7 linked regions of the Nothobranchius furzeri genome follow. The protein of the gene in region 1 interacts with the protein of each later gene in a biochemical or structural test. Links are inferred from orthologs where the notes say so. Each region holds a gene or a part of one and is shown on either strand. Other genes may lie near its edges. The genes, in order: ubiquitin-conjugating enzyme E2 E1, ubr5, ipo11, rnf167, ubr7, trim32 and rnf4.

What was found.
Region 2: the proteins of ubiquitin-conjugating enzyme E2 E1 (region 1) and ubr5 form a complex in vitro, tested with the Homo sapiens proteins (2 studies listed by BioGRID). The link is inferred for Nothobranchius furzeri from reciprocal best matches to the Homo sapiens genes UBE2E1 and UBR5.
Region 3: the proteins of ubiquitin-conjugating enzyme E2 E1 (region 1) and ipo11 form a complex in vitro, tested with the Homo sapiens proteins (2 studies listed by BioGRID). The link is inferred for Nothobranchius furzeri from reciprocal best matches to the Homo sapiens genes UBE2E1 and IPO11.
Region 4: the proteins of ubiquitin-conjugating enzyme E2 E1 (region 1) and rnf167 form a complex in vitro, tested with the Homo sapiens proteins (3 studies listed by BioGRID). The link is inferred for Nothobranchius furzeri from reciprocal best matches to the Homo sapiens genes UBE2E1 and RNF167.
Region 5: the proteins of ubiquitin-conjugating enzyme E2 E1 (region 1) and ubr7 form a complex in vitro, tested with the Homo sapiens proteins (2 studies listed by BioGRID). The link is inferred for Nothobranchius furzeri from reciprocal best matches to the Homo sapiens genes UBE2E1 and UBR7.
Region 6: the proteins of ubiquitin-conjugating enzyme E2 E1 (region 1) and trim32 form a complex in vitro, tested with the Homo sapiens proteins (2 studies listed by BioGRID). The link is inferred for Nothobranchius furzeri from reciprocal best matches to the Homo sapiens genes UBE2E1 and TRIM32.
Region 7: the proteins of ubiquitin-conjugating enzyme E2 E1 (region 1) and rnf4 form a complex in vitro, tested with the Homo sapiens proteins (2 studies listed by BioGRID, with this or other methods). The link is inferred for Nothobranchius furzeri from reciprocal best matches to the Homo sapiens genes UBE2E1 and RNF4.

Annotation. Positions count from the first base shown.
Region 1 is NC_091745.1:63,674,947-63,679,852, reverse strand, and holds the start of ubiquitin-conjugating enzyme E2 E1, read right to left. Parts: upstream 2,987-4,906; coding exon 2,832-2,986; intron 2,298-2,831; coding exon 2,247-2,297; intron 1-2,246. UniProt on the Homo sapiens protein: Accepts ubiquitin from the E1 complex and catalyzes its covalent attachment to other proteins. Catalyzes the covalent attachment of ISG15 to other proteins. Mediates the selective degradation of short-lived and abnormal proteins.
Region 2 is NC_091745.1:50,648,546-50,653,243, reverse strand, and holds the start of ubr5 (E3 ubiquitin-protein ligase UBR5), read left to right. Parts: upstream 1-1,447; 5' UTR 1,448-1,604; coding exon 1,605-1,666; intron 1,667-4,698. UniProt on the Homo sapiens protein: E3 ubiquitin-protein ligase involved in different protein quality control pathways in the cytoplasm and nucleus. Mainly acts as a ubiquitin chain elongator that extends pre-ubiquitinated substrates.
Region 3 is NC_091757.1:51,403,403-51,407,550, reverse strand, and holds part of ipo11 (importin-11), read right to left. Parts: intron 1,353-4,148; 5' UTR 1,341-1,352; coding exon 1,203-1,340; intron 1-1,202. UniProt on the Homo sapiens protein: Functions in nuclear protein import as nuclear transport receptor. Serves as receptor for nuclear localization signals (NLS) in cargo substrates.
Region 4 is NC_091750.1:48,167,094-48,170,187, reverse strand, and holds the end of rnf167 (E3 ubiquitin-protein ligase RNF167), read left to right. Parts: intron 1-887; coding exon 888-968; intron 969-1,217; coding exon 1,218-1,633; 3' UTR 1,634-2,386; downstream 2,387-3,094.
Region 5 is NC_091742.1:16,675,747-16,680,624, forward strand, and holds the start of ubr7 (putative E3 ubiquitin-protein ligase UBR7), read right to left. Parts: upstream 3,171-4,878; 5' UTR 2,974-3,170; intron 2,771-2,973; exon of another isoform or gene 2,631-2,770; intron 2,562-2,630; 5' UTR 2,549-2,561; coding exon 2,432-2,548; intron 2,105-2,431; coding exon 1,971-2,104; intron 1,421-1,970; coding exon 1,360-1,420; intron 1,189-1,359; coding exon 1,093-1,188; intron 1,013-1,092; coding exon 959-1,012; intron 1-958. UniProt on the Homo sapiens protein: E3 ubiquitin-protein ligase which is a component of the N-end rule pathway. Recognizes and binds to proteins bearing specific N-terminal residues that are destabilizing according to the N-end rule, leading to their ubiquitination and subsequent degradation.
Region 6 is NC_091746.1:55,655,906-55,658,956, reverse strand, and holds part of trim32 (E3 ubiquitin-protein ligase TRIM32), read right to left. Parts: intron 2,594-3,051; 5' UTR 2,582-2,593; coding exon 548-2,581; 3' UTR 1-547. UniProt on the Homo sapiens protein: E3 ubiquitin ligase that plays a role in various biological processes including neural stem cell differentiation, innate immunity, inflammatory resonse and autophagy.
Region 7 is NC_091741.1:64,325,156-64,329,929, reverse strand, and holds the start of rnf4 (E3 ubiquitin-protein ligase RNF4), read right to left. Parts: upstream 3,341-4,774; 5' UTR 3,195-3,340; exon of another isoform or gene 3,150-3,194; intron 1-3,149. UniProt on the Homo sapiens protein: E3 ubiquitin-protein ligase which binds polysumoylated chains covalently attached to proteins and mediates 'Lys-6'-, 'Lys-11'-, 'Lys-48'- and 'Lys-63'-linked polyubiquitination of those substrates and their subsequent targeting to the proteasome for degradation.

The sequences.
Region 1 (4,906 bases):
CAACAACTTTATTTTTGAATTTGTGTGTTCAAATGAAGAAATTTGCATTTATTTCATTGAGATACATAAATTAGTAATAATGAAACTGCTATACAAGTCAAATAATTGGGAAATAATCAATAATTTAATCTAATCAAATTAACAAATTAATCATTAGATTAAATCGATGCATCGAAAAAATAATCGCTAGATTAATCGATTACAAAAATAATCGTTTTTCCCAGCCCTACGCATGACATTCTGTCTCAATCTGTCCCCCGATGATATTCTGCATTCCGTATTCTGCGCTTCAGGCTCTCTGTGTGTGTGTGTGTGTGTGGGGGGGGGGGGGGGGTTCTTGTTCTGTGTGAAAATGAAGCGGTACAAGTGATAATGCTGCAGGATTTCATAATTTTAACCCTTCTCAGCAGCAGCACTGCAGGTGCTCTCCATGTCCAAAATGTGCGTAAGCCAGGTCCTTAGTCAACTTAAAGTTGCGCACATTTTCCCGCTACGTTCTCTTTCATAAATCCCAAAGTTTGCATTGAAAGTTGCTTACACAGTTTTCCAACCCAGTTTTGTGCGTAAGCAAGCTTGATAAATGAGGCCCCAGGGCATTTGTGTGTGTGTTTTGGCCATTCTTAAATGCAAAAAACACAATATAAACACCATCTTGGACCGGATAACACGGAACAGTGCTACGCCCTCTATTGTCCTGGTGGGGAATTGCTTTGTAACACTCCCCAGGAGACGGAGAAGTATGGGGGCAAAACGTCTCCATTCGTGCGTCTCTCTCCCTGGTGGAGCTGACGGAGAAGTATAAATTTGGTTTCAGTACCAGGAAGGAAGCTTTTTTTTTTAAATAAGTTCAACTTTCAGTTACAGCTGTAAATACAGATCTTCAGATGAAAACGCATTTGTTTTAATATTTTAGTTCCTCTTGGAAGAACAGCTGCTTATTTAAACTGAATGTTTTGGTATTTGACATTTCCATTCAGGAAAAAGAAACTATTTGTAACTCAAACTGAGACAACACATAATTTTGTTTATTGCAACGAAGCTTCATGGTAATAGATCTGATAACAGTGGGAAGCCTGATTAGTTACCTTTACTGTAGGTGGTGCCATCTAAACCTGCTTTATTCTGCTGTTGGAATTCAGTTCTTCACTGGATTCAACTCTCCCACGGTACTCAGGAAAAAGCAACACAGAAGGCCCATTTCATTTTTTTGGAACATCTGGGTCATTTTGCTGGACCTTCGTTACGTTCACCAGGCCGACTCAATAGGGCCACTTTTGAGAGCTTTTCAGGAACCAACCTAGAACCTGAATTGGAGCAAGTACGAGGAAAAGGCCCGGTAGTGCCGCTGGACGGGACTTGTTGTTACGTTCTGCTGATTGGTTGGAGAAACAGCTGATAGGACAGAGCTATAGAATTTTCCCTCTCCCAGAAGTGTCCCTGAACTCCTGTAGTGAAAACACGGTAATACTGGCCCCTGTGAGGGACAATCAGTAGGACGTGGAATATCCCAACACAGCCTCACCAGCTTGGCCCCGCCTCCTCATTCTAGACACATGTTCTTGTGAAACCAGGAGTCAACCAGTGTTGTTGTGTTAGGCTCAATACCAATACTCACACTTCCACCCTTGTGCCCTTCAATTGCGCATTCCTGTCCAGGGGCACAAGGTGTACCAATCCTCAAGTGCGGAAATTGACCACACCCCTTTTGCACACTTGATGCGGACTTGGGCAAAGGGTATTACCCACAACCCATTGCTGTGAAGGCATTTTGAAAAGACTGAACAATGGCTCAAGTGCCTTATTTGAAAATATGTATTTTCAAACAAAAGAAGTTCATTTTAAGACGACTAATGATATTTATATGAATAAATATCATTACTGAATGTTTAAGATTAAAATTTAATGTGAACAGCAATGAATGTAAATTGTGTCAACTGTTTAAAAATTGTTAATAAAGCTTTTTTAAAAAGTAGCACAAACAGCAACCGGCATCCCTGCATGCACAGTGGTCGATGATGCAACGGCCACTGTCCCAATTCAGCACACAGAGCCTTACTGCACACTTCCTCTAAGCGCACTTCACAGAAGACACAGGGTGCAGTGTGGGTATTGGAACTGTGAACTGACCTATAATAATGATTTTACCTGTTTCAACATTTAGGAAGTTTGGATCAGCCAATATCAGGACAAAACTCTGATCTGTCGTGCTGGTGAGTACATAAAGAACCATAAAACCGTAAACTCACCTGCAGTTTGGCGGAGGGTCCAGGGTAATTTCAGCCAGCTCTTTTTGAATTCTGCAAATGTTACAAAAATCAATTACTGATGGAAGGATCAGAGGTGGAATTACTCAGAATCAAACAAAGTGATTAAAAATAAATATGATCTAGTTAACATGGCATCAGAAAACTAACTTACACACCTTAATGCTGTTTGACTGTTTTTGTAGAAAAGAATGTTGAATGAGACTGAAACTGTGAAGATTTTTTTTTTTTTTTTTTTTACTGAAGAAGAAACTGGTACTTCCTTAAAAACATGGTTTACAACACTACTCTGGCTTATAGAAGCAACCGCCTAAGCACAAATTAAACTAGTTCCTCTTTGACCATCAATGTGTTTTTTTCACTGTTAAATAAATACACAAGGGGAAGTCATGAAAACAAATTCTACTGTCGTTTACTCATGTTTCTGAGCTTATCCTGCCATCAGCAGCTACTAAAAGTTACATATTTATATGTAAACAACATTGTTGTCTTAAGGGGTTTTAAACAGACATGAATCTAATGAGCAACAATAATCTGCCCATTGCTGTATGACAGATTTCTTTTAACCTTTTGGCGCTGGTGGAAAGCAGCTTGGAGGTCTTGCTCATGCTGGTTTTGTTCTCCCGTTTCTTCTTGAAAGCTGTATCCTTGTGTCTGTTTTGGCTGGAGGAAGGTGGTGATGAGGATGAGCTGGTGCTGGCACGGGAATCCTCATCCGACATACCGGTTAGGATTGGAGAAGAGCCGCAACCTGAGGAGAAATGGGAGGAAATCTGAAAAGTGAAAGTAACCCAAAAATGTGGAGCACTTGTGAATAAAGGTAGGTAATAGTATTTTCCTTTTGGGAGGTTTATGTTTCTGAACACATTTTCAAATGTGTAGTGTTGACAAAAACAAAACATCTGGTTTTTATCAGGATTAACAAAACAAGCTGGAATAAAAATGAACAAACCAAGTGCTTAATAATGGGGAAAACAGTCTTATTTTTTAAAAGGTTTTTGTGGAAATTATTTATTTGAAAATGTTAATTTTCTAAACATTTATGCACCACCTTTCCTTGATATAGCCTAGCAGCAATATATATATATATATATATATATATATATATATATATATATATATATATATATATATATATATATATATATATATATATATATATATATAAGTCTGAATAAAATTAGAAAAAATTAAGATATTGAAAACATTTACATCCGAAAGAATAAATTAAATCCAGGATGTGATCATGTGCAAACCATGGTGCAAACACAAAACATTACACATCAGTTAGCTAGCTTGTTTGTTTTGATCTCATGTTGCAGACATGAGATAGGATTCTCGCGAGATTTCACAGCGATTCGCCTTCTGTTTTTTTTTTCGTTAGGTAACGCTTTCCGCTACGGTTAACAGTCTTTAGCCTTAGCTAGCTCGTGGTTAACATTAAATATGGTAATTTTGTATCGTAAGCTATAAATTAAAACGTGTCTGATGGTATATACACGCCATATGTTTCTTCAAATCACCTTTCTTCGTGAGCACTATCAGTAATCCAGCATTAGTCCTCCCCGCTTCATAAAAAACTTAACTGGTAACGAAGACTCGGGCCTCAAGTCTTTGTGGATAAAACAATAATAACGTGAAATTAGACGACGGCTGTGTTGTCAGCTCTCGTTGTGAACCGCTGCCTTTGGCATTAAGACACATATAAATGTAACAATTAAAGGTTTGAAGCAAGAATGAGAAAAAGAGGACCGCTCCAGCACATAGACGCAGCCCTTCCCCCCGTGCTGCTGCTGACTCGACCTCGAGCGTTTTGTTTTTCTTTTTCTCGTTTCTGTCGCCGCGCATCAACATCAGCTGGGAACGCAAACATGTTGGGAATCAGCGCAGATTTTCACAATGCCGAACTAAACGCTTGAACGGAACCATTCATCTCGCTCGTGAAACTTACCCACTCTTTGTGTCTGGACCTCCGCCACCGTCAGGCTGCCTGCTGCCTGTCGTCCTCTGCGGAACGGAAGTAGCCTTCCGCGGCTGCGGGAGGCTGAACAGCTCCGGTCCTGCTGGGGAAACTGGGCCGTCCGCGGCGTGTGTCAAAGCTTCACATCAAGTACATTTAATTTAAACAAGATTAGTCTCCCAGAGGAGCTGTACAGCAGTGCTCCGATGACACCCAGACAGCACAGGTGGCCTAAAAGTCACGCACTGCAGTGCACTTGTTAAAGGTGACAGCAAATAAATCAAAAGATAAAAAAAAGTAGTTCAACTTCTAAAAAATGATTCATATCTGATCTGAAAATCTAAACATTGAAGGATAAAAAGGAAAGTGAAACGTTTTGATGATGATCAGAAATGTGTAACAACTTGAGCCGTCACTAGATCAGCCACAGAAAATAACCACTTAGACTGACCACGTCTGATGACTGATCTGAGAACTTCGTCACGAGATTTAATTATGAAAATAGCATCATCATCATCTTGAAAGTGTTTTATTATTCACAGTTTCGAGAGGTTAAAGTGGAGGCAGAGCTTTAAATTGTGTTTTTGTTTTGTGATCTTTACATTTCATAGAATAATTTAATCTGCATCTAAATCAGTTACAATTTACACTGTAATAGATTTGTTTTGACAAATAGGATCCA
Region 2 (4,698 bases), about 13 Mb from region 1:
TTGCCAAAGGACAGAACAGCAGTATTTTCTGCGGTGAGACAGGATTGATCCTACAACCCTCCTATTGCTGGATAACCCAATCTACCTCCTCCTTGTCTTTATGTCTAGTAATTATTTTATCTTATTTTTGTCTTGTATTTTTTTTATCTTACCTGTTTTTCTTTTATGTAAAGCTAACTATGTGTTTGTTGCTGCTGCCTCTTGGCCAGATCATCGTTGTAAATGAGAATGAGTTCTCAATCGACACATCTGGATAAATAAATGTAAAATTTATTTATTATTTATTTATTAATGATTGTTAACCAGCTCAGTGGCCTAGTGGTAGATTGTACACCCTGAGACTGGGATATCAGGGTTCGATTCCTGGTCGGGTCATACCAAAGACTTAGAAAAAATGGGACCCAATGCCTCCCTGCTTGACACTCAGCATTAAGGGGTTGGATTGGGGGGTTAAACCACCAAATGGTTCCCGAGCGCGGCTGTGTCTGCAGCTCACCGCTCCCCCAGGGGATGGGTCAAATGCGGAGAACAAATTTCGCACACACACCTGTGTGTGTGACAACTAATGGGACTTTAAAATAAACCTCCTGAGCTGCTGCTGCATAACATTCTTACAAAGACTACACATTTCACTGTACTTGCTAGACTTGCTGTCTAGTTGCTTTTTCCGTATAAGCTGTTAATACTTTCAGCAGTTAAAAAAGGCAGAACTGTTGGACAAATTTCTGCATAACTTGCAAATGCAAATTATTCAAATTGTGCATAAATGCTGAGAGTTGTAGACACACACACACACACACACACACACACACACACACACACACACACACACACACATATATATATATATATGACATGTTATATATATATATATATATATATATATATATATATATATATATATATATATATATATATATATATATATATATATACCGGTATATATAGCAAGGTGATACTCTATAATAATAGAGTATTACAGCTATGGGTCACAATGTAATGAGAATAGAAATGCAAATCACACCATTATGTTGCCTCCTATAATATGCTTTTACTGGCACATTTACTTCAGGTACAGTCGGACTTCTGAACACTGGAGCTGAAATTCAGGAGCCTGACAGAAACCCTGGAAATTAACCACAAACTTGTCAGATTTTTGTTCAAACTAAACCAATCTTCCTTTTGACTTCAGGGTCTGGAGAGATTTTCACCCCACAGTGTGGAAATAAAAAGGCCAACTAGGCAATTATTGGTCCTGTAAAAACTGTCACCGCGATAAAAATATGTAAAACCAGAAGAAACAAAACGAACATATTTAGCAGCACTGTAGTGATGTAGTTGTCCTCCCGTTGGTTTTGTCTCTGTTCTTGAAGCCAGTTTGATGACGTTTCCTGTTTGTGTTGGAGCGGCCGAGTGCTCTTATCAACACTCACAAGAGGTTCGGTAGAGTTAAGATGGCGGCATGTGGGTGAGGAGCCAGGGATTCAAACTCTAGGTCTTTTTTGCAATTAAACGATTCCTATGAAATCACATCCGTGCGGTAGTCGACGGATTAAGTATTTCTATACCTTTCACGAGTCTGTGTGTGATTTTGGATTGGGCCCATGACATCTATCCACTTCGTTGTTCACCCGTTGCCCGGGACCGAAGACCAGCTCAATGACAGGTATTTCGTTGCAGTAAAATAGTAAATAAAATGATTGTTAATGCAGTAGTTTGGTTAAAGTTTATTCTAGGTTGTAACTGTTGATACTGTCATGTGTTTTCTTCTGTTTTTTAAACGGTAAAAACGAGCCCTCCAGGGATGATTTAAGGCCCGGCATTTTGAGCAGACCTTCGGTAGCATGCTAATGCTAACGCGTTAAATGTCTATGTAACGTTAGCAGGACGGTTCCGTTCTCTTCTGGACGGACTGGCTCATAGTCAAAGTTGAGATAGACAATGCGGGTTGGGGGATGGGGAAAGAGGGGTGGAAATATAAGGCTTTTAACCCAACCAAACTGTTAAACCACTCACGTTTGTGTATAAATGACATATACGCCACCGCGGCGAGGGTTTTCGTGTGTTATTTTTGCGTTTTGTTGGCTAATGTTATCAATGAAGGAGCTAAAGCTAGCTAACTGTCAGCTAGCTCACAATGCTAGTTAGGTTAGGTTACCACGCGCTTGACAAAGACATATTCTGAGCTTTTTGCTGTAATGATTCCATTAATCTTGAAGTTTAAGTATACATTTATCCCCAAACTTCATTGCTAAGGCGACCTAATATGTCGCTGCCAACGCTGGGCACTGGGATGCATCTAGCAGCCTTACATTCATTTTAATCTTGTTATCGACTTTAATTAGGCTAGCAAGCCAAGGCGTATAAAGTATCAATAAAGTACACGAAATTCTTTAGTTAGCACCTAATCACCCAATATTGTTCCACTCAAATACTGGTTTCCCTTAAACGGATAACCCAGATATAATATCGTGTAGTTAGCCAGTCAATGCAGATTGGCTAATTTACTCAAAAAAGGTTTCATTTATAAAGTGAAGAGATAGTTAATTAGTAGTATTTAGAAAAAATACATTAGAACTTGTATGCAACCCACGTTTTTCTGCAACACGTGATCTATAATAAATCTATTTATACTGTCCACTGAGATTGAACTGATTAATGAGCTGTTCCACTTAGAGACAAAGAGGTGAGAAGTCAGTGTTTTACGGAATGACCTTGAGCTTAAAGACAGGATAGGGGCTAAGTGTTGGATAGCTTTTACAGGCTCTGAGGAGGACCACCTTTGCTCTGGTGGACAGGGAGGCTCAGTTTACGCTATTATTTTGAAGGAATCTTGCATGAAAATGCCACAGGAGCATCCTGGTGCTATTGGATCCTTGGAGGGGGTCATGGCTCTTCATCTCCAGGCTTTTATTCTTTTGTAATCTACAGTCACAGTGTGCTTCTTGGAGCATCTTCTAATTTGGTTTTGCCTTTCTGTAGTGTTTGCTCTAGTCCGTGGGCTTTAATGTGCACCCTATTGAGCCTAAAATTATGTTTATGTATTTAGCAAATAGTTTTGTCCAAAGCAACTTACAAGTGATAATGAGGCCAGCAGCTTAATTTGTTATTATTTCACTCAGGGGTAGACTGCTTTACTTAACATTAAGATTTAAATTGACTCCAGAGAAATACACAAGTTCAAAGGTAAAAATGTTTACCCCTGATATTCCAGCAAGAATCTGAGCGATAGTAAACTGAGTTGCATTGAAATGGCCCAATCTGCTTTATTGTGGAACTGATTAAAATATTTCTTGTCTCATAGTTTTTGTTCATTAAATTAAAAGATGAAGTTGTCTTTGTGAAGTTTCTATTGGACAGTTCTGTAAGTGGTTACTTTTAACACATTGTCAATAAAATATAAAGGTATTCAATAAAATGTGATACTCAATAAAATATGGATTTATCGATATTATCGAACCTTTAATATTTTATTGATATAAGTATATACTTTGGGTATGCCAGGGAAACAACACTTTATAATAATCTGACACAGAGGCAAAACTATAGTTTATAAAAACCAATAGTACTATATTTCTACTGCTAATGATGATTCATGATGAATTATTATAAATGAAGATTTAAGGCAATATCAACTGAGACAATGAATAAACTGAAGAAATACGAGCTTAGATGTTAAGAGCCTAATAAAGTGTCTTAGATGTGATTTCTGGATTGATAAAGTAAATCTGGCTGAATGTTTAATGAAGTTTAACAAGTTATCAAATTAATAATAAACCATCCAACTCCAGTGTGAAGAAGCGAAGTCATCTCGGCAAGGCAAAGCGAATGGTTGGCCTTCTGATGTATTTAAGGGTTGTAGGACCCCTCAGAAATCACACCACTGGTCGAAGCGATAACTTCCCTGGGTGACTTCTGGTGGTTCTAATGGAGTTTTGCAGGTTCAACAAATAATTGGTTGGTTCTGAAAAACGATGGCTCTAATGCTGCTAAAATTATTCCACTGAAAGATATGGTTTGACTTCACAAAGAATGGTAATTTAGCACAAGCTGGAGCTTTGGCTGGAACTGCCGAATATAGGAAGTGTTTGTCTTTTAAGGGTTTATTGTTTATGCGTTTTGGACCAACCAGATGCCAGAGAGTGTAGGGTTAGTAGGGCTGTAGCGAAGCTTCGATGACGTCGACGGCTCGATTCTAAAAATTCGTCGACGTCAGATCCGGTAGTCGACGCACCGCGCCCACTTGTTGCATCCCCAGGAGTTTGTAAATAGAGGTGGAATCTGCCTGTTTTTCCTCTAGTTCGCCCTCTTCTCCGCCTTCACTAACATCTCAGCCAAATACCGAAGACCCGGAACAAAGTCCATCCGCTACTAGGTTCCTTTCCTGTTTTGCCCGCCTTCGTTTCCCGGCAACGGACAACAACTTCCGGGGTCAAATGCGCTGCTCCGTCTCTATAGCAGATGTAGAAAATCACCGGGAGCGTTTCTCCCTTCATAAAGGAGCTTCTTTCAGACATTAGGAGAGCTGTTTTGGTGGTAGCAGTCTCTCCTCCGAGCTGGTCTGTTTGCTGCTGGGTGTTTTTGGTTTATTTAAACTTGGCAACTTAACGTTGGTAAAGCTACTGTTAGCATTTTCGCTAACAGCTTCTTGCGTTTGGATAAGCTGTTACGTTTTGGTTTAGAGTTCATCTTTTTTCA
Region 3 (4,148 bases), on another chromosome or scaffold:
CAGGGGCACCCTGTGGGGGACGCTCCAGGAGTATGGGGTGGGTGGCTTTCTGTTAAGGGCCATTCAGTCCCTTTACCAGAGGAGCGTGAGTTTGGTACGCATAGCCGGTAGTAAGTCGGACCTGTTCCCAGTGAGGGTTGGACTCCGCCAGGGCTGCCCTTTGTCACCGTTTCTGTTCATCACTTTTATGGACAGAATTTCTAGACGCAGCCGTGGTGTGGAGTGTGTCGAGTTTGGTGGCAGGAGAATCTCGTCTCTGCTTTTTGCGGATGATGTGGTCCTCCTAGCTTCATCCAGCTCTGACCTTCAGCTCTTGCTGGGTAGGTTCGCGGCCGAATGTGAAGCGGCTGGGATGAGGATCAGCACCTCCAAATCTGAGACCATGGTTCTCGACCGGAAAAGGGTGGCTTGCCACCTCCGGGTCGGGGGAGAGGTCCTACCTCAAGTGGAGGAGTTTAAGTATCTCGGGGTCTTGTTCACGAGTGAGGGTAGGAGGGATCGGGAGATCGACAGGCGGATTGGTTCGGCGTCTGCAGTGATGCGGACGCTGAGCCGATCTGTCGTGGGGAAGAGGGAGCTGAGCCAGAAAGCCAGGCTCTCGATTTACCGGTCGATCTACGTCCCAATCCTCACCTATGGTCATGAGCTTTGGGTAATGACCGAAAGAACGAGATCGCGGATACAAGCGGCCGAAATGAGTTTCCTCCGTAGGGTGGCCGGGCTCAGCCTTAGAGATAGGGTGAGGAGCTCGGACATTCGGGAGGGACTCGGAGTAGAACCGCTGCTCCTCCGGATCGAAAGGAGCCAGTTGAGGTGGTTTGGGCATCTGGTCAGGATGCCTCCTGGACGCCTCCCTGGGGAGGTGTTTCGGGCATGTCCTGCCGGCAGAAGGCCCCCGGGTCGACCCAGGACACGTTGGAGAAGTTACATCTCCAATCTGGTCCGGGAACGCCTTGGGGTCCTGCCGGAGGAGCTGGTGGACAAGGCCGGGGAGAGGACGGCCTGGAGCTCCCTAGTTGGGATGCTGCCCCCGCGACCCGGACCCGGATAAGCGGAGGAAGACGAGACGAGACGAGACGAGGCTATGGAATCCTACGTCTTATGGCTTATTAAATAACATGTAATTTAAATCATTACATTCCTAAAGGATCATGCTAGAGGAGGTATCGCAGATTTATTTGACTCTGACGATCGTGACTCACAAGTAGGACTGAGTAGAAGCCAGGCTGGGTCTCCCACTGCCTGAGCTGCTCCTCTGCAGGCTTCAGCACAGCCGTGTCCTGACTGGTAGCTTGGGTCAGGGTCTGCAGCACCACAGAGCTGGCACTGTCCATATCCATATCTGGATATATCTACAGAGAAAAGGAAGAGAGAGAACAAGAATCAGGGAAAATTCTACTTATTTAAGGAAACTTCAGGTATGCTTGGAAGGAAAATAAAAAAGATCGTCAGTTCACGGCGAAACCTAAATAATTAAGCATCACAAGAAAGTCGAGGGAGTCGGTTTATATCCTCAGAAACCATCCTGAGAGGAGTGGACTTAAAAAAAGCCCATTTTTCTATTTAATTGTTATTTTGTTTTCTGCCAGTTGCATCATAGTTGAGGGCTCATGTCACATCCGTGTTTATTAAGATTTGTTGTTGGGAATCATCTGTTTTCCATCGTCCAGTGAAACCTCCCACCTAAAGATCCATCCATCCATTTTCTGAAACCGCTTTGTCCACGCAGGGTCGGGGCTGGTGCCTATCTCCAGCGGTCAACGGGCAATCAGGCGGTGTACACCCTGGACAGAGAGCCAGTCCATCGCAGGGCAACACAGACACACAGGACAAACAATCATGCGCACACACACTCACCTAAGGACAATTTAGACAGACCAATCAACGTAACAGTCATGTTTTTGGACTGTGGGAGGAAGCCGGAGTACCCGGAGAGAACCCACGCATGCACAGGGAGAACATGCAAACTCCATGCAGAAAGATCCCAGGCCGGGAAACGAACCCAGGACCTTCTTGCTGCAAGGCAACAGCTCTAACCACTGCACCACTGCGCAGCCATCCTCAGAAACATTGGCTTTTACTTTATCTAACTATTATTTCAACACTGTTTTGTTATAGCTCAAGCGATGCTGAAACTAATGCCAAACACAAGATGAAACATGCTCTTATAAAATAAAAAATAAATCACACTTAATAGAAAAAACTGGAGTCATCTCAAACCTGCAAATAGCTCTTTCATGCTCCAGATGTTGTTCAACCACCCAAGTTTCACACAATCAAATGTGTATTTGTCATTCTAAATGGCAACTCAACTAATTTACCCATAAAAGACATTTCCAGGAGTGAAAATATGGTGTAAACCATTCTTTAACAGCTCACACTCACATTTAAGTAAAAGGATAAACGAACTTAGAGGAAATCCCTTCGGCTTTACTGAATTTACAAGTTTATAGAGTAATATCTAAAAATACCTGTTTCTTATAGGTTCACTGGATTTAAAATATCCTGCCTTAATCACTTTGAGTAAACAAACTCATAAAATGAGCAACTGAATGGTAGAACGATGGAAGTGACTCAAATGGAGAAGAAAGAAAACATGAAACAATGCTGCCATCTACAGCTCAGACACAAATATTCAGCACTACAGGAAACCAGAGTTCTCCTGGAACTGCATTCATTTTCAACATCACAATTATTTGGCAACGATGTGGCTCCAGCTGCCGCCTGATGAGTGAAGATCATGAATAACTTAGCCAAATAACTTCTTGTTGCCGCTATCTATTCTAAATGAGTGACCAGAAGAGTTTAAACCAACAATGATTCGATTGAAATGCAGCTTCAACCTGTAACACAATGTCAATTGTGTTACAGGTTGAAGCTGCATTTTTATCATTTTTATCATGGCTTTTTATCATTTTGATAGGATCAGCAAGCTTTTTCGTGTCATCCCTTCCAGACGTGACATACTTTGATATAAGATTAGAATCTTTTAACTGTCAACACGTTTTCCACGTCCCTCTGACTCGAGCTGGAATGCAGCAGATACTTAACTCATTCACTGCCATTGACGACTAAAGTCGTCATTTTAGATGCAACCGTTCACTGCCAATGACGACTACAGTCATTGGCATTTTTTTACTGTTTGAGCATCGGAACGAACCCCCGCGCTGAGAGAACAAACATCTCAGCCCTGAAGCCGATCTTCATCCGCACATGTCACATGATCAGGAAGCAGACCATCCAGGGTCTGAAATTAACACTCGCCACTCGCCAAATGCGAGCAAATTGCTCCATTTGGCGAGCAAATTTTTTAGCTCTATCTGCCACATGGCAAGTAAATGTTTGCACCAAATAAGTTATGTTTATCAGTCATCTTCCATGGATTTCTGATACTCCTCCCGCCTGCAAGCAACGTACACAAACGTACGCGAAACGTGAACGCCGCATCCAACGTCATTTCCACCTATCCCATTCGGTTTATCAAGTTAGCGGTTAGCTTCGTGTTAAAACTAGCGGTGAAATGTGGTGGTTTTTAACTGGAGTCAGCCAGCCTTCCAAAAGAAAACTCGTTGAACTGGAAGAATAACCACCAGGACCAGTGGCAACCAGAAGATGTTGTGAAAGTGGCGAACCGGAGATGGCGGAGTCGTGAGACAATACATTATGATGGCCACGTAGCGTTGCTGCCTTTCACAGACAACTGGCCCTCGGCATTCTTCAAATATCCAAAATATGCCCGTACTTCCCACTTTGTCTTCTTTGAGGGATAATAAATGTCCTGAGTGCTGTCGTCTCCTCCTGCCATTATTTCAGCTTTAGCTTAAAGAAAGTTTTGGTCGTAAACAACAAAGTGCGCATGTGCCGCCGGCAACTTCCAGATGATATGGTGGCTGGTAAGGGTCACCGCGCCTACACCGCAGCCACGGTAATCCACCGAGATAATATATGTTTTAAAAAACAAGACGGTTATTATTATTGTCAACTTTTTTACCGGGGTTTACCACTACACCGGTTACCGTGACAACCCTAGCCCTGACACACTTTCAGATATTCTCATGGTGCAGCTGTGTTCTCCAGGGATCAAGGACTATGACCCAAATGAGGCTGTAATGCTTTGGCACAAAGACGGTGTCAGAAGCAGGAGGCCA
Region 4 (3,094 bases), on another chromosome or scaffold:
TGTGATGTGAAGTACACTAGCATAATTTATTAGGTATTACACCTAATAACCTGTTTAGTTTAAAATATGTCAGAAAGGGTCCTAACCCAGGCCAGAGTATGTTAATTTAATAGTGAAGGATTTGTAGCTTTTATGGCTGTTGTGAAGATAATTTCTCTAAATGACTTCTCCTGGATTTGCTTTAAGTAGAAGTGGTCTGCTTCGAGGTCCAACTCAGGACTTCCGTTAGCTTGCAGAGCTAAACAGCCACATACGTTTATTCTGGGGAGTGTTGTGTCTGTGGTTCTAAATGATTCCCTTTATGTCTTTGTGAAAAGGATCTTCATATTAACTGCAATCATCGTTTTTATGCTAAAATCTGGACAAAGTGACTGTGGATTAATTATATTTACATATTTGATGGACAAACATCCTTAGAGATCCAGAATGGGAATCGGTCACATTAATTCAAAACTCAGTCATTAAAATCCTGATTTTTCCACTCTGGAAGTTTAAATAGATTATTTACAACTAGAGTTGCAGGGATTGACCGGTTTGACTATTAACCCCGTACCGTAAAGACGTCTCCAACGCCTCCCGTAAAAAACAAAAAGACAATAGCGCAACCTTCACTGACTAAGGCTAAAGTGAAGCTGAACGCAGCAGAAGCAGGTCCAGTGACAACACCCATCGGGACCGTGGAAGTGGTTGAAGTCTTCTGTGTGGGAATATTTGATATATTAGATACATGCCCTCTCCGAATTTTTTAAAAACATCTTGAAACCATCACTGCAGCCCAAAAGTCACTTGTTATGTGTGTGCAGCAGCCTGCTTGGTCGTGTTCATTTGCTGCTTTTCTGTAGGGTTGTGTCTGCGGTGTGATTCCTGAACATTTTCCTGTATTGTAGGAGACGACTATGATGTTTGTGCCATCTGTCTGGACGAGTATGAAGAAGGAGACAAACTGAGAGTTTTACCCTGCTCACACGGTAAAGATTTCTCATTTGTCATCGGCGTGTTTGTGTAAAACCTAAATATGATTATGTATTCAGAAAAGTACACCAAGTACTACTAGATTATAACGGACTTTCTAGGTGTTTTCCTTTGAGGTGACAGCACACGTTTCAGTCATCTACTCTCAGTGACGTGTTTGTTTCTTCATCTTTGTTGTAGTTGATAAAGCTTCTTATGCGTTTTGACCTTTTTCTGAGTTTTGTGAAATCCGTCTGGTTTCTCAGCGTACCACAGCAAGTGTGTGGACCCGTGGCTCACCCAGAACAAGAAGACATGTCCTGTGTGCAAACAGCGAGTGATCCAGAATAACCCGGAGCACTCAGAGTCAGATTCTGAGGAGGAAGGGGCAGGACGCAGAGATGAGGAAGGAACTGATGGCGAAGCTGACTCAGAGCGCACTCCTTTGCTCCGGCCCTCCAACCCCGGGTCCCCTTCAGGGAGCCCAGTGGCCTATTCAGCCACCACCACCGCCGCCCAGTGTCTGGTGTCTCCTGCTCGCAGCTCACCCATCCTGGGCTACCAGGGCTACTACTCTCCTCAGGAGGACACAGACTCAGAAAGTGGCGACGCAGGAGATGACCGGCACCACAGTGATGATGACACGGTTCATCTCATTGGTAGGAACCGAGTCGATGCCTGAACTTAGCTGTAGTGAAGTTAGCCTGTTGTTCACTTTAAAGGAAACGAGAGAGGGTTTTCCTGCCTACAAATGTGCTGTAAAGTTATTTACTTTCAACAATCAGCTAGACCTTTAGACTTCCACAGCGGCTGATTGTTTTTTTTTTTTTTATCCAATAACCAGACACCAGAGGTCTACGTTGTAGTGTCAAAGCGGGAGTCGGTGTAATTTGTTTGATCAAAGTCCAAAAGAATCACTCCCCTTCATAATCGCTCTTGTGCTCATATCTGTAGATGCTTTTGTTGCATGCTCTAAATTGTGACCCAACATGACCCGACCACTAGTGCTGCACAACTTTAGGAACCAGTAAGGTTTATTTTATTAGGTAAGAGCGTAACTCTAGATGAGGTCTCTACACGGAAGGCTCTGATTGTTTCAGTTATATTTTTATTCCAGTTTTAAGTAAACTAACAGGATGTACACGCGGGTAGGGGGGATCTTAGTCTTTGCTTTTGTTTTGTGCTTTTTTCCACAGAGTATTTCTGAGATTTTACTGCTGCTTTTACGTTGTTGCTGAAATCGGTGAAGGTAGGATTTTAGCTTGATGTAGTTTGTAAGTTTGAATAAACTCAGGTTTAGGTCAGAAGGTCAGTTTGAAATGGTAAGTGAAGAACCAAGTAAGGAAATTATTAGCTTTGATCCTTTAAATTGTTTTAGTTTCTCTTGGGAACCTCTGTGTTTTTAGGACAAGGTGCATTGCCTTACACTGACCTGAAACTTCGCATTTAATGTTTTAATCTGAAGACAAGAAAGGCACTCCTTCCTTTTATTTTATGTCTCGTTCTCCATGCCTGAGAGTTAGCTCGTTTCCATGGGTCTGGTGGTAGTAACGGGATTGTGATTTGGACATTAACAAGCTCAGCACCAGAGTAACTGATGATTTGGGCGTCGTCTGTAAATTGAAATGATCATTTTTGTGAAAAGCAGCAAACGTTGTAAGCCTTTAAAATGATTTTGCTGCTCAAAAGTTATGAATGTTTTATGGATTAATTAATTTTGTCTTCAGACGCCCACGCAGAGGTTGTTTTAGATTAATCCAGTCTGGCGAACTCTGAGGTAACATTTTTACTTTCCCTCTTTTTTAAAGAGATCCAGTGCAATTTATTTCTCTCCCATTTGATAAAATAGGTCAATAAAACATATCAGAATGGAGACAAATCTCACAAAGCACCGCTACTTTATAAAAGAGACAACACTGAGCAGGATTTACACAAAGTTTGTGTTAGGGGATTAATTCACTGTTAGAATGCAAAAAAACTCAATTCCTTTATGTTTGACCTCAGATTGACCCCATACTTGGTTGATTGTGACCTGTTGGCAATATACTGTATTATACAACACAACAGCTGTTTTTATATGAACACACCTTAATTATTTTGTACTGTACCTTTTTTTATTTCTCAGCTTATTAAACTGTTGACA
Region 5 (4,878 bases), on another chromosome or scaffold:
GGTTCAGCCCCAAACCAAACCCGTTACTGCTGAGTGTGGAGCAGGGAGGCATATGACCCCATCAGCCTCAGGGCGGACACTACCACAGGCCACTGAGCGTGTCAGGTTACTGAGTGCAGAAAACCGTGTAAATACCTGTGGAGCCGTGTTGATGCATGCGCTGTGTGAGCGGCTACTTTATTTGTAACGTTTTTTCTCTACTAGGTCAGCCACAGCGCTGTGCACGCATAAAAGAATTTAAAACAACACCGACCCAAGCAAGGGCCCACAAAATATACATTAAGACCAATAAAGACAGAAGATAAAAGCATGTTGATAAATAAACCAAACAGGATGAAATGAAACTATAATTTCTAAAAATATGATGCTGAGGGAACGCTACAGAAGTGTCTTCACCCGGATCTTAAAAACAGTGAGGGTCTGACCTCGATTGGTTCTGGTGCTCTAGGGTCTCAGCACGGCTTCAACAGGGCGACACCCTCGTGAGGGTCGAGCAAATTAACCCATGTGGTATTTGCGCGATTGCTGATTGGGAGCTGGTCGTGAGGTGTTAGTTGCTCATCGTTACGTCCTGTACACGACGCAAAACTCAGTCCAGCTTCGGATTCTCACACCAGAAGAAAATCAGCTTGAGATGAGTCACAAGTTGCGCAGTTTTTAGAGATAGGGTGAGAAGCTCTGTCATCCGGGAGGGGCTTGGAGTAGAGCTGCATCAAGAGGAGCCAGTTGAGGCGGCTTGGGCATCTGGTCAGGATGCCTCCTGGATGCCTCCCTGGTGAGGTTTTCGCCCCCGCGACCCGATTGCGGATAAGCGGAAGAGAATGGATAGATGGCTTGTATTTGCATAGCACCTTCTAGGCTTCTAAACCCCCCAAGGCACTTTACAACACACAAATCAATCCCACAGCCCTCCAGTTAAGAGACAGGGCACTGTCGTAAATGAGGCCCCTGGACCTACCCTGCCGTGAAGCCAGTCCTCACACACCACACACTGAATCATCTCGTCTTCCTCCTGAACCCAAAAACACCAAATCAGTCAGACAGCCTCAGGTAACAGCTGGTAGACAGGTGAGCTCCAGCTGTCTCACTTACCTGGTCGTCAGGATCAGGATACGGCCGGCTGCACGTGCAATACATACCAAAGAAGTTGTGATTGTATTTATTCTGACTGTTGGCATCGTCTTTGTCCTGACACACACACACACACACACACACACACACACACACACACACACACACACACACACACACACACACACACACACACACACACACACACACACACACACACACAGTGTTAGTGTGTGGCAGCTTAAGCAGTGATAACAGATCATCACAGGTGTTCTCAGGTGAACTCACTGGATAAAGTTTGCACTGCAGCTCAGAGAACTTCCTGTTTCCGCAGTCACAGCGGAAGTTCCTGGAGAAACCACAGAGGAAGACAGAGGTTCTAGATCAGTTTAGTGATCTTGTTAGAATTTCCTGTATGACGTTAGACTTGTGAGGTAAAGCTAGACATGAATCTGTAGACGTCCCATTGGGCACTGGAGAGCATTAACAGTGTCGTCGCCATATTGGATGGGTTCCTCACTCTCCAAACCCAATAGGAGTCGATGCAGCGCGAGCGGCCATGCCAGGTTTGTGTTGCAACAACTGGCGCACTATTTAAAACAGATAACGCGGGATTACTGACTTTTCTAGCCTACCTGATGTGATGTTATATGTTTATTATTTAATTATATTATATTTTTATTATCATGCCATACCATGTGTTGGACTGTTAAAAAACATGACAAACTGTTTTTAGTTGGGGAAACACCTTCCTCAGTGGTAATAAATGCACTGGGAGCAAATGGAGACCCACCCAAGGTGGCGGCCAGCCAGTCCGCGGGGCGTCTACGTATATGATGTCAGTACAAACTGATCTGTTGATTTGTCGGCATGTGGAGATTACAGAGTGCATCGATCACCTCTTGGTGTAAAGTTCAAAGAGGTCGTGACCTTCATGGCATTTGTATGAACAGGCCAGACAGATTCCTGCAGCCTCGCCTCCCTTTGGCGTGCAGGTGTTACAGGCGTACAGTGCCTGTCGCTTCACGTAGCCCTGGAACGAACGAACACACACACACACACACACACACACACACACACACACACACACACACACACACCAGCTGTGGTTATGATGTAGCTCGTCACCATCAGTGCGTGACTGGTTAGTTAGTCGTGATTAGCTACAGAAGCAGGTAAAAAACCAGAAACGCGGTGATGAGCTGGCACCACCTCCTGGTCATACATATCTACTACAGGTCATCAATCTGCACCAGGTGAGACCTCACCTGCTCCCTGACCTCTTTACCAACACACACACAGACACACTGACTGGATCAGAAGCCCTTACTGTAAGGATATCTGTGGAATCTGGGAATACCTGAGGATATGAGCAGTGATCGGAGTCACTTCCGGCCAGCACAGCTGAAGCCTCTTCCTCCAATTCTTCATCTTCCTCCAGAACGTCCACTAGAGACACCGTCTGCTCCTCACTCATCCTGGTCTTCTCTCTGATGGACAAACAGCATGTATCACTGATGGGTTCTGGTCCAAACGGTGGTCGCTCATTGACCTTTAACCTGTCTTTGAAGGAGTTGATGGTCTTCTCAGAGACCTGTCGAGGTGTTCAGCTTCACCCACCTCCACCAGAGCCCAGGGTGGAGCAGGTTAACCCTAACCAGCCCAGCACTGTGGCTAACATGTTAACTTTGTTTTATAAACGGAACAGCAGGCATTTGATTATTACCTGTCGGGACAGGTGAGTTTAATGGCAACAGAATCTAACTGTTACCATGACAACCCAGAGTTAACTATTCCTGACGTAATCAAATGGTTCCATTACATAAAATGATCAATATTTAGTTAGCATAATTTAGCATTCTCGTGCTAATCCTGTTAGCTTGTAGCATAAACCAAACTCACCGAACAACAGGGGTAAATCGACACTTTTGACGCTGTTTCTGTCGTTCACAAAGCAACCAGCTGATTGATTATCACCAGTAACTGCGTCCGAAAATCTATCTTTGTCGCTATAGGCGCGATCTACACTAACTACCCACAACTTCCGGTCCTGGGGTCAGAGGTCACCGCCTCTAAAACAGATCTAACGGAGATCAAATCGATCAGACTGATCCACCGGAATCATAAACCTGCGCGCTGCAGAAACATTTATTAAGCCCAACCAAAAAATGGCTCAAATAAAACAACTAATCACGTGACCGAACGCGCCAACTCCATGGTGTGTTCACTACCAGAAACAAAATCCGTCCTTCGAAATATTTTACTGAAAGCGTTTCACTTTGGTGCTAAAGATTAACTTCAGATTTAACAGCAGTATCATTTGTGTATGTGTGTGGCAATTAGTGATTAAGATCAAATAGTCAAAAGCATTAATCTACTTATTAACTCCTCGTGTGTACGTAAAGTATATACGATCAGCTGACGGAAACGCAGCGCTCCTGAAGGCAGCTCCGTGTGATACGTGATGACGACACCGGAATGGCGGCTGTGTGTGTGCAAGCAGAGCTGAGGCTCAGGGATGGACAGAACCGAACCGTCGGCGTAGTGGTCGGAAACGGACTCAGTGCTCTGAGAAGTGGGATTTCCGAACTGAACGCGAAAGTGTCGCAAATTCTTACCGAGCTGGTGGACCGCGAGAGGCCGCGAGGAGGCTGCACGCGAGGTGAGCTTTTCCTTGAGTCTCGCGATAATTTATTCCGTGTGAGTAACTTTGGCCTCGGTCTTTTTTTTATTTTTATTTTTTTTATCATTAAATGCTTTTTACAATTTCTCGTGAGACACTTTGGCCTCGGTGTAGATCGGTCTAGATGAGCAGCAGCTGCAGGACCGAGCGCAGTTTCAGGCACACTGTGGAGTTTTAGGTTTGTATTGTGTTTGAGACAGCGCCCTCTAAAGGATGAGTTTTTAATTGCAACTGTAGATTCAAAACATTCCTTTAAATCACGTTACATGTGTAAAATTTAATTAGAAGTAAAAACAATCAGAATTTTATTAAAGCGACATAAACTTATTTAATTGCCGGTGAAGCTTTACATCAAACTATTAAATAATTGGTCAGTCTTGTTCCATCTAATTATTTCCAGTTAGCTGGTAGGCTGCTGTCTGTGTGTGTGGTCTGCAGACAAAAGAAAGCACAAAGTTGAAACTCTTTGCTTTAATATGTTTAGTTATCACCGTTTGAACTGTAATGTTTTGCAGCAGACACAATTTAGTTCATTTTCACAATAATAACCTTACTTACAATTTTAACAGAGCTCCTTTCTTTAATCTTTACATTTGTGTAATAAAAAACATTAGCCTAAAGTAACGGTTTTATTTCTTTCTGAAAATAAGAACAATTTCATACTTTTATGCTAAAGTTGGCTTATATCCTTTTCTTTCACATCATCCACAGCTAATTTAATATTTTCTTTAATTTGCCAAAGTGTGAATGATATCAGTTCAGTCGCCTGACCAGCCAGCTTTATGCTTCCTTCTGGGAAGCAATGGTTTAGGTCTCAGACCAGCCCAGTCATCTCCACTAAGCTGAGTTAGCTCCTAGCATAGCCGCAGGGTTTCCCTTACATAGGCGTAGCCGTGGCGGCCCGCCTATGTATGGCTGAAATCCCACCGCCACGCCTACAAGATCCCAAGTTATTTTATTTTATGCGCTGTTTCCCGAAGAAGCAGCGGGAACTACTATGTTGTCGCTTGTGATCACAGCAGGCAGGCAGCAAGGAGGAGCAGGCAGGGCAGGGTGAAGTTACAGCATAAGTTACTTTTATTGAACATGTTTAAAAACGTGTTCTATTTGTTACCATCACACAT
Region 6 (3,051 bases), on another chromosome or scaffold:
AGCTATCACCATGGCTCCATATTTATCACACAGCCCTTCAGGTTATGATTTTACAGTTCAGCACTCGTCTAGAAGGTACTTCCTATTCTGCACGTTCTCTGAATGTTGCCAAATGCAAATGATTGATAATTCATTAGACTTCTGTCATTAAAGACTAACAAAGTAAATGTTTAAAGCTGCCAGCTTCATTATCATTAGTGTGCTACTGAAACCCGTTGATAGGACACAGTGGTGTCGAGAATAAAGTGCTTCACAGGCCAAAAGCCTTAGTGTGCTTTATTTCATATGTAAGTATATTATCAGCCACTGTTTCTTCAGGTTTACTTACTTCACACACATTCAGGCGAAAAGATGAATAAAACAGCCAATAAAAAGGACCTGGTGTCATATTGGTGTTTTCTCCCGTTTTTAAGTTGGAATACGAGTTTACAAATGTGGTGTAACAATGAAAGCCAGGGAGGCAATTGTTTGGATTTAATCTACACTAAAGCTTCCTTTCTCAAAGGTCAATTCTGACCAAACCTACTGAACTTGTTCAGTTCATCTTTTAAGTGGAAGAATGCCTCTTTTGAATGTATGTATAGACTTTAACACAGTGGTCCCAGCAATCTAGTACTAACAGCTGCCCTTTCTGGGTAGTGGCAACCCCCACAGGGCAGTTCAGCCCTTCTCGGATCAGAATATTAAATCCACCTTCTTTGGGAAACTGCAGGATTTCTTTTCTACCACTGTCTGTAACCAGCAAGTCCCCGTTGGCATCCACACACATGCCAGTGATACAGCGGAAGTCCTCGGTCTCTGAGAAGAAATGGCTGAGTTGTTTGCCAAGCTGGCCATTGGTGCCCACTGAACTGATGGAGAAGCCACCCTCCAGGTGGGGTTCATTCTGCCGCTTCTCAAAGTTCAGGGCCAAGCCCTGGGTGAAATATACCGTTCCTGCTGTGTCACACGTCACAAACTTTGGCCGCACAGCAGAGCACAATCGGTTGTAGCTGACTACGCCTACGTTGCGGTCCACAGCGAGGCACCACAGCTTGCCCCCTTCCACATCTGACACCACAAACTGACCTGACGGCATGGCAGTAATCCCCCATGGTTTGATCAGTTGGTTTTTGTGGCTAGCTACATAGTGGCCATCCATTGTGTAGACTTTTACAGAGTTATCATAGTTGTCAGTGACACCAATCAGGCCTTGTGGTGTCACAGCAATTGATAAGGGGTTTAGATTTGGCAGGTCAGCCCCAAAGAAGCTCAGGACAAAGTTGTCAATGCTGGCATTACGTCGGATTTCACGTGGGATACCTTTGCGATTAAAAATCTGGACACGGCAATTTCCACGATCAGCCACTAGTACATCACCTTGTGGCGTCACACAGATGCTCACTGGTAAATTAAACATCCCAGGTAGAGCTCCCTTACAGCCCATCTTCTTTACAAATTGGCACACTGGTGGTCCTGAACTTGCTCCAGCAGTTGATCCTCCTCCTTCATCCATGGACTTGGACTTAAAGCTGCCTGGTGAACCACATACCGTCTCCTCTACTGCAGAGACCATGTCGACATCCCTGTAAAGATCCACCGGAACCTTTACAGCACCTCCTGTGGCACCTCCTGGCCCAGATACACTCTCAAATACAGTCTCTGCACCTCCATTGTCTTCCTCTGTATTAATGACGCAAGTGTTTGTGGTTAAATGCCCCACTTCTAGAGGTTTTGATTGCTCTATTCTCACCAGCGCCGGCTCTTGAAGCTGAAACTGTGTGGATAAACTGCCCCTCAGGTCTAGCTCTTCATCGTCACTTCCTGCACCATCATCTTTGAGCAGGGCGACATCACTCTGCCTTACTTGCACAGTCAGATAATCACAGCGTGACACCACTTTTACTTCTGCGAGGTTGAGAAGATACGTTTGTTCCTCCAGGACCTGCGCATTGAGTTTTTCCACTTCTCCCAACGAGGCTGTGAACAGCCTCCGAGATCTGCTGAGCTCCCCTTGAAGATGTTGCTCAGCCGCGTTGTACTCCAGCTGAACTGCCCGATATTTTTGTCTCAAGGTCTTAGAAATATTTTCAATCGCCGTCTTCTTCTTTTGAATTTCACCCATGACATCCCGGAGAGCAGCCAGCTTCCCGCCCAGTTCTTTACGACGCTGCTCAGCAGCCACCTTAATTGGCTGAACTGAATGACCTTCATGCAGGTGGCCCTCACCTTTACACACTTCACAGAGAACGGTAGAACAGTCGTGGCAGTACTGTCTTGGTAGACGGTTGCAGCAGGACTTGCACATTAGTGCAGCAGCAGCAGCACTGCAGGACAAAGTGCAATCTATAATTTTTAGCACAGTTAGATTATCTGCCAGCTGAGAGATGCTGCTCATCCGTGAGACTTTGCTGCAGAAGGGGCAGCGAACGCCATTAATAGTATTAGCCAAGAGTTTCTCGAGACATAGTCGACACACTGTGTGGCCGCACTGCAAAAGTTTAGGTCTCAGGTGGTCCTGATTGTAGGTCTCCAGGCAGATGGGGCATTCAAGAACCTCCCTCATTAGATCTGGGTCCAGTTGGGAGCACGACGCTGCCATTATGGCCTTTTCCTTGAGTGGAGAGAATGGAAAGAAAACAGGAGGGGAGATGTAAATGCAAATGTAAAATAGTTCACAACTAACAAATGCAGGAAACAATGCAAGAATAATCATTGTGTTTCATTTATAGAGCCCTGTAAAATAGAAACAAGTCTGTCTTAGACTTAGATGAAAATGTAGACCTTTTACATTTTCATTGTGGAATTATTAAAAATTTAAAGCACTGAGAAAAACTGAATCTGGAAGGAAAAGAACTATATGACACAAATTATAATGCATTTCTATGCAATGTATTGAATGTGTAATTTGGGATCTGAATAATCGCAAAATGATTTAGTTGACATAAACAACTAGTACAATTATTTGACACAATGTTTTGCAAGCATGCTCATGTTGAGATCCTTCATGTGAAAAATGCAGACAAAATTGTAGAAGGAATGCTGAAACTTGCATATTTTGTCAATATCTAT
Region 7 (4,774 bases), on another chromosome or scaffold:
GAACAAGCCGACACTGATACCCATGTTAGGAGGGCTGAGCGGGATCGCCAACCACCGATGAGGCTCGACTACACTGAATTGGGGAAACCAATTGTCACCGTGGTAAAGTCCTTCTTCCAAGGGTTGACCGATGCGTGGAATGACATGGTAAATGAAGGTGAAGCACATGCTTCTACTCTTGCCTTTACCCCCAAGAGACATTTGTGTGAACCTTGTCATGCACAGGGACGTGCAAGAGTTCAGGAGGGGAGAGTGTAACCCACATCAGAATTGTGGTTTGTGCTGCGGCATAAGGTTGGAGGTGTAATTTCCCTCTCCGCCACTAGGAGGCGAGTATGCCTTGAGATGACTTCCTGTTAGTCAGCACTTCCTGTTGTGAAAGCCGTTACTCACGAGGCAACCGCCAGATTAACTGAAAGATCCTGGATCTGAATTCTGTGAAATATGGGCGTGGGAAGCTGCGTCAGCCAGGCGAGCTATCTCACCACGAGCTCCGATTGGTTTTTTGACCAGGACCGGATCATTTGAGATCTGAACCTTGTGGGTTCAGTGGCGAGCCAGTTCCAAGAGAGTGACTGTAGACGGACCAGAGTACGGTGTGGCCAGCCGTGGGATCCATCTTCAGCGAACCCCAGGACTATCACTACATCCCTTGACACAGATAAGACTGACACTTTTAAAAAATCTACCCGGGTAGTGTTAGATCCACTGGACAGAAACGCACACACACAAACTAATTTCTCTTTCCAAAGAGAAGTGGACTGAGCAACAGGAGTGGAAGCTCTTTAATTGAAACTCTTTGGAGAATTTCCTCAAAGAGGGTTTTGGTTTTATTTTGAGTCCTTTAATGTGCGTTTGTGCACTGTAGGAAGCCGGCTTAGACAGGCAGGGTTTGTAAACTTTACACCTTTTCAATACAGTTTCTATTTAAATCATATCTTATCTGTCATTGTGTGGTTCCTTCTCTGCTGATCCTTTCAAGGCTCCATAATCTTACCTAGAACTTTTGATACTGGTCCAGAGTTGTCAAGACAATAGTTCAATACCTATTTCATATTATTTAATTGTAATACCCGTTACATGAGCAATATCGGTCTACCCCTAACTCTAACCTCATCATCTTCCTACCTATGTAATCATTGTCTCTCATCTGGACATATCCAAACCAACTCAGTCTGTCCTCTCTGACTCCAAAACATCTAACATAATGTAACGTTACCGCATGCTGTTGGAAAAGAAGCGTGCTTGCCTTCTAGGTGATCTACTGCTGTCGGCGTGGTATGTATGTGCGGTGCGCCCCCTCCCTGCACGCTCAGTATGAATATTCTTTTCTGGGTTAATAAGGTTTATTACCTTTTTTGTTTAGGACCCGAGGTGTTGTGATGCTACGACAAAGTGTTTTGAGTCACTGCTGTGACCCCCCTCCCCTCTCTCCCTCAACAACCGAGGAGCGGTTCGACAGAGCGGACCGACCTATCGGGAGCAGTTTGGGCCACCGCTCACTGTACGTTTACATGCAGCCAGTAACCCTTTTAAAACCCGAATATTCACAATAACCCGGTTCCGCACGGCCATGTAAACACCGCCAAAAGCCCGGATATGCTCATAACCGGGTTTTTAAAAACCCGGTTACTACACCTGGGGTAACCCTTTTCTAACCCGAATGTTTGGTCGTGTAAACACATATCGGGATATCCCCTTCAAAGCGTGTGTTCTGCGCATGCTCTGTTCGCAAGGGATCTTGGTCTTTTGAGAAGCGAGACGTCTTGTATGCGCCAGAACACTGGAAGTAAACAAGATGGGAGCAACATGGCGAGTCGCGGCACAGCACCACACTTTTGGAGTGACGAGGAAACCTGTCTTCATCGGTCTGGTGAAAAGTATGAACATTATGTCTTTTGTTGACAGCCGAAAGTACAGAGACAGCGAAATATGACGCATATTGCGTCTTGACGTAGTCCATACGTCCTGACGCTACCCCAACGTCCGCATTTAAATCGGGTTATGCAAGTTAGGGGTAACTCTTTCTATTTATTATGCTTGTAAACGGGTTATTCTGATCAACTCAGAAACCCGAATACCGACCTTAACCCGATCATAACCCGGATATTGGCTGCATGTAAACTCAGAGCATAACCGAGGATTTTAACCAGTGCTGGTGCTCCTCCGCCAGACGTTCTCCCGCCCAGCATGTTGGTTGGAGTGGAAAGGGAGACCTTTTCTCACCTCTGACGCATGAGGATTTTGGAGCACTATTGTATTTCAACAGAGTTTATTTTATTGTGGTTTTTAACTTTTATTTGTCCAGGCTGGAGCCAAGGGTGGTGGCGGTGGTTCTTCCGTGTGCGAGTTGGTGTGGGCCCCCCTTCACATCTGTGTGACTGTTCACTGGTGCTTTGGGTGACTATTGGTATTTAGTTTGTGTTGTTGCTAGAACCTCCAGTGGGTCCACCTTACCTTGGTAAGCTCCAGCCTGGTAACACTAATTATTTTCTTTCCTTGTTTTAATTCTCCCTTTCTATTTTTAAATTAGTAGTTTAAACTGCTGTCCTTTTAACAAAACACGAAATAAAATTGTGGACTTTGCGTACACCTCGTTTCTGTCGCCTTTGTGAGAGCATTGAACCTATGTGCGCCTAAAGGTACCATTTTATTTTCCTTGGGTGAAATTCCCAAGATGGCATTGTTTTAATCTTTTAACTTAACATTCTGTTTAGTACCAGCACACCCATACCACCTCTGTCACCACAATAAGCTGCCCCTTTCTTCTTAAGCTGCGCAACCTCTAACTCTACTTCCTGTCTTTACCTTGTGGACGCTGTCTCTAAAGCAGACATGGCTGGTCTCACTAGTATCTTTACACCTTAGTAGAAACTCCTCACACCTGATACCTTCCATCTAAATCTACAGTACTTCCATCTAAATCTACAGTACTGAGGATGGTATTTGTTTACAGGCGTATTCATTTAAGCGCAATTAATTTCAAAGTGTTCTTCAAGGAAGTCAATGTGTCACTAAAATAACAAAAACAGGTGGCTTCGGTCCAAAATCTAAACGGATGGAGTTTCGTTTTACCATCACGACCAGAGACAACTGGTTAGCAGTTAGCTTCTCTCACAACTGGTTAGCAGTTAGCTTCTCTCACTCACCACCAGGTGTTTTCATGTGTTCGGCTCGAACGTGACACGTCTCACCTCAAACGGAGAATTCGCGGTCCAAGAAAATCTACTTCTGCCCCAGAACACCGAAACGAACGATTGTAATGTTAGCTTTTACTTTCTGCGCCTTCTGCGGTTACAACCGGAAGTTGTACTCTAACGGTGAGCTCACTAGCGCCCCCTGCAAAGTTCAGATGGAACTGCGACGTTAAAAATGTGTTAAAACAAATTTAAGAAAATCATATTATTTGATAGTAATATATTTATCTCCAATTCCATTTTCTTGAATAATCAATGCAGTACACAAATTTAATGGTTCAGTTTGAAACTGATTTTATTGATGCCAAAATCAAGCCTCCAACATGATAGAACTATTCCAGGACTAAACTTACAATCACTCTGACTAAGGTTCTGTTACAAAAATAATGTTATCAATAAAGTAAAAATAATATCAGTAAATTTTGCATATAATATTTTTAAAATGAAGTGTGATTTGCGTCAAAGTTCTCCATCATACAAAAATATTTAAAATTATTAGAAATACTCACCAGATCTATTTTGAACCTAAAATGGTAAACTCAACAGCAGAAAATACTGATTATATTTTCCTCACAAACCACCTTGAATTTACATCTGAACCACATGGGGTCCAGATCTAAACCATCACTGTTTACAACCATAGTCAAAACGCATTTGAACATATGCATTTTTTTTTAAACTTTCAACAAGTTTTATTTGAAGAGCTTGTCCAGAAAAACTCTGATCAGACCACTGAAACATTTTGGTGTGATCAAAAAATTTATTCTGAGATGATTAAAATCATTTATGATTTAATTTTGTATCAGAAGGCATTGACAATATGGTTCTTAACCAGAAGGAGGATTTGTCAGAGTAAAACAAACATCTTGTATTGACCAAGGAACAGATGGCTCAAACAGGTCAACATAAAAGTTTCAACATTCAGATTTTATTTGAAGTCAAATCAACAAATGCATCAATGACATCAGCCACGCAAACTTTCACAGCTTCCTGCTGTCACAAATGAAGCAAAAACATTCAACAAAAGATGAGCTGAAGCAAACAGGTCCAGTGGTGCCAGAGCCAGGTCAAAGATGCTGAGGCAGATGCACGAATGTTTACATAAACATGAAATAAACAAAATCAGTTTCATGTTTTAAGTAAAGATCTATGAGATTGGAAACATGTGACAAAAGGAAAGCTACATATCTATCCACCTATCTGTCAACAACTGCCAGAAGCATTGTGGGAGCTGCAGTACTGTATGGTGACCCAGTGCATTGTGGGAAAACCTGATCGGGGGCTGGAAAATTCCAGCGTGACCTGGCAGGGTCTGCTTTAGGGCCGCGCCTTCATGAGCGCCTCACCGAGCCAGATTCCTGAACGCAGCACTGAAAAGACAAGTTGTCAAATAAAGGTCTGTAAGAACAGAATCATTCACTTTTGATTTTAAACTGAATTTATTAAAAAGCTAAATCCTCTCAGGTGGATTTGGTCCACCCAGCTTTCACCCAAAACATGCATGTCACATGTCATGGACAAAAAGAAGGAACTGATCTTAAAACTGCCTGTTAAAAGTCAAAGCTTTGAAATCATCA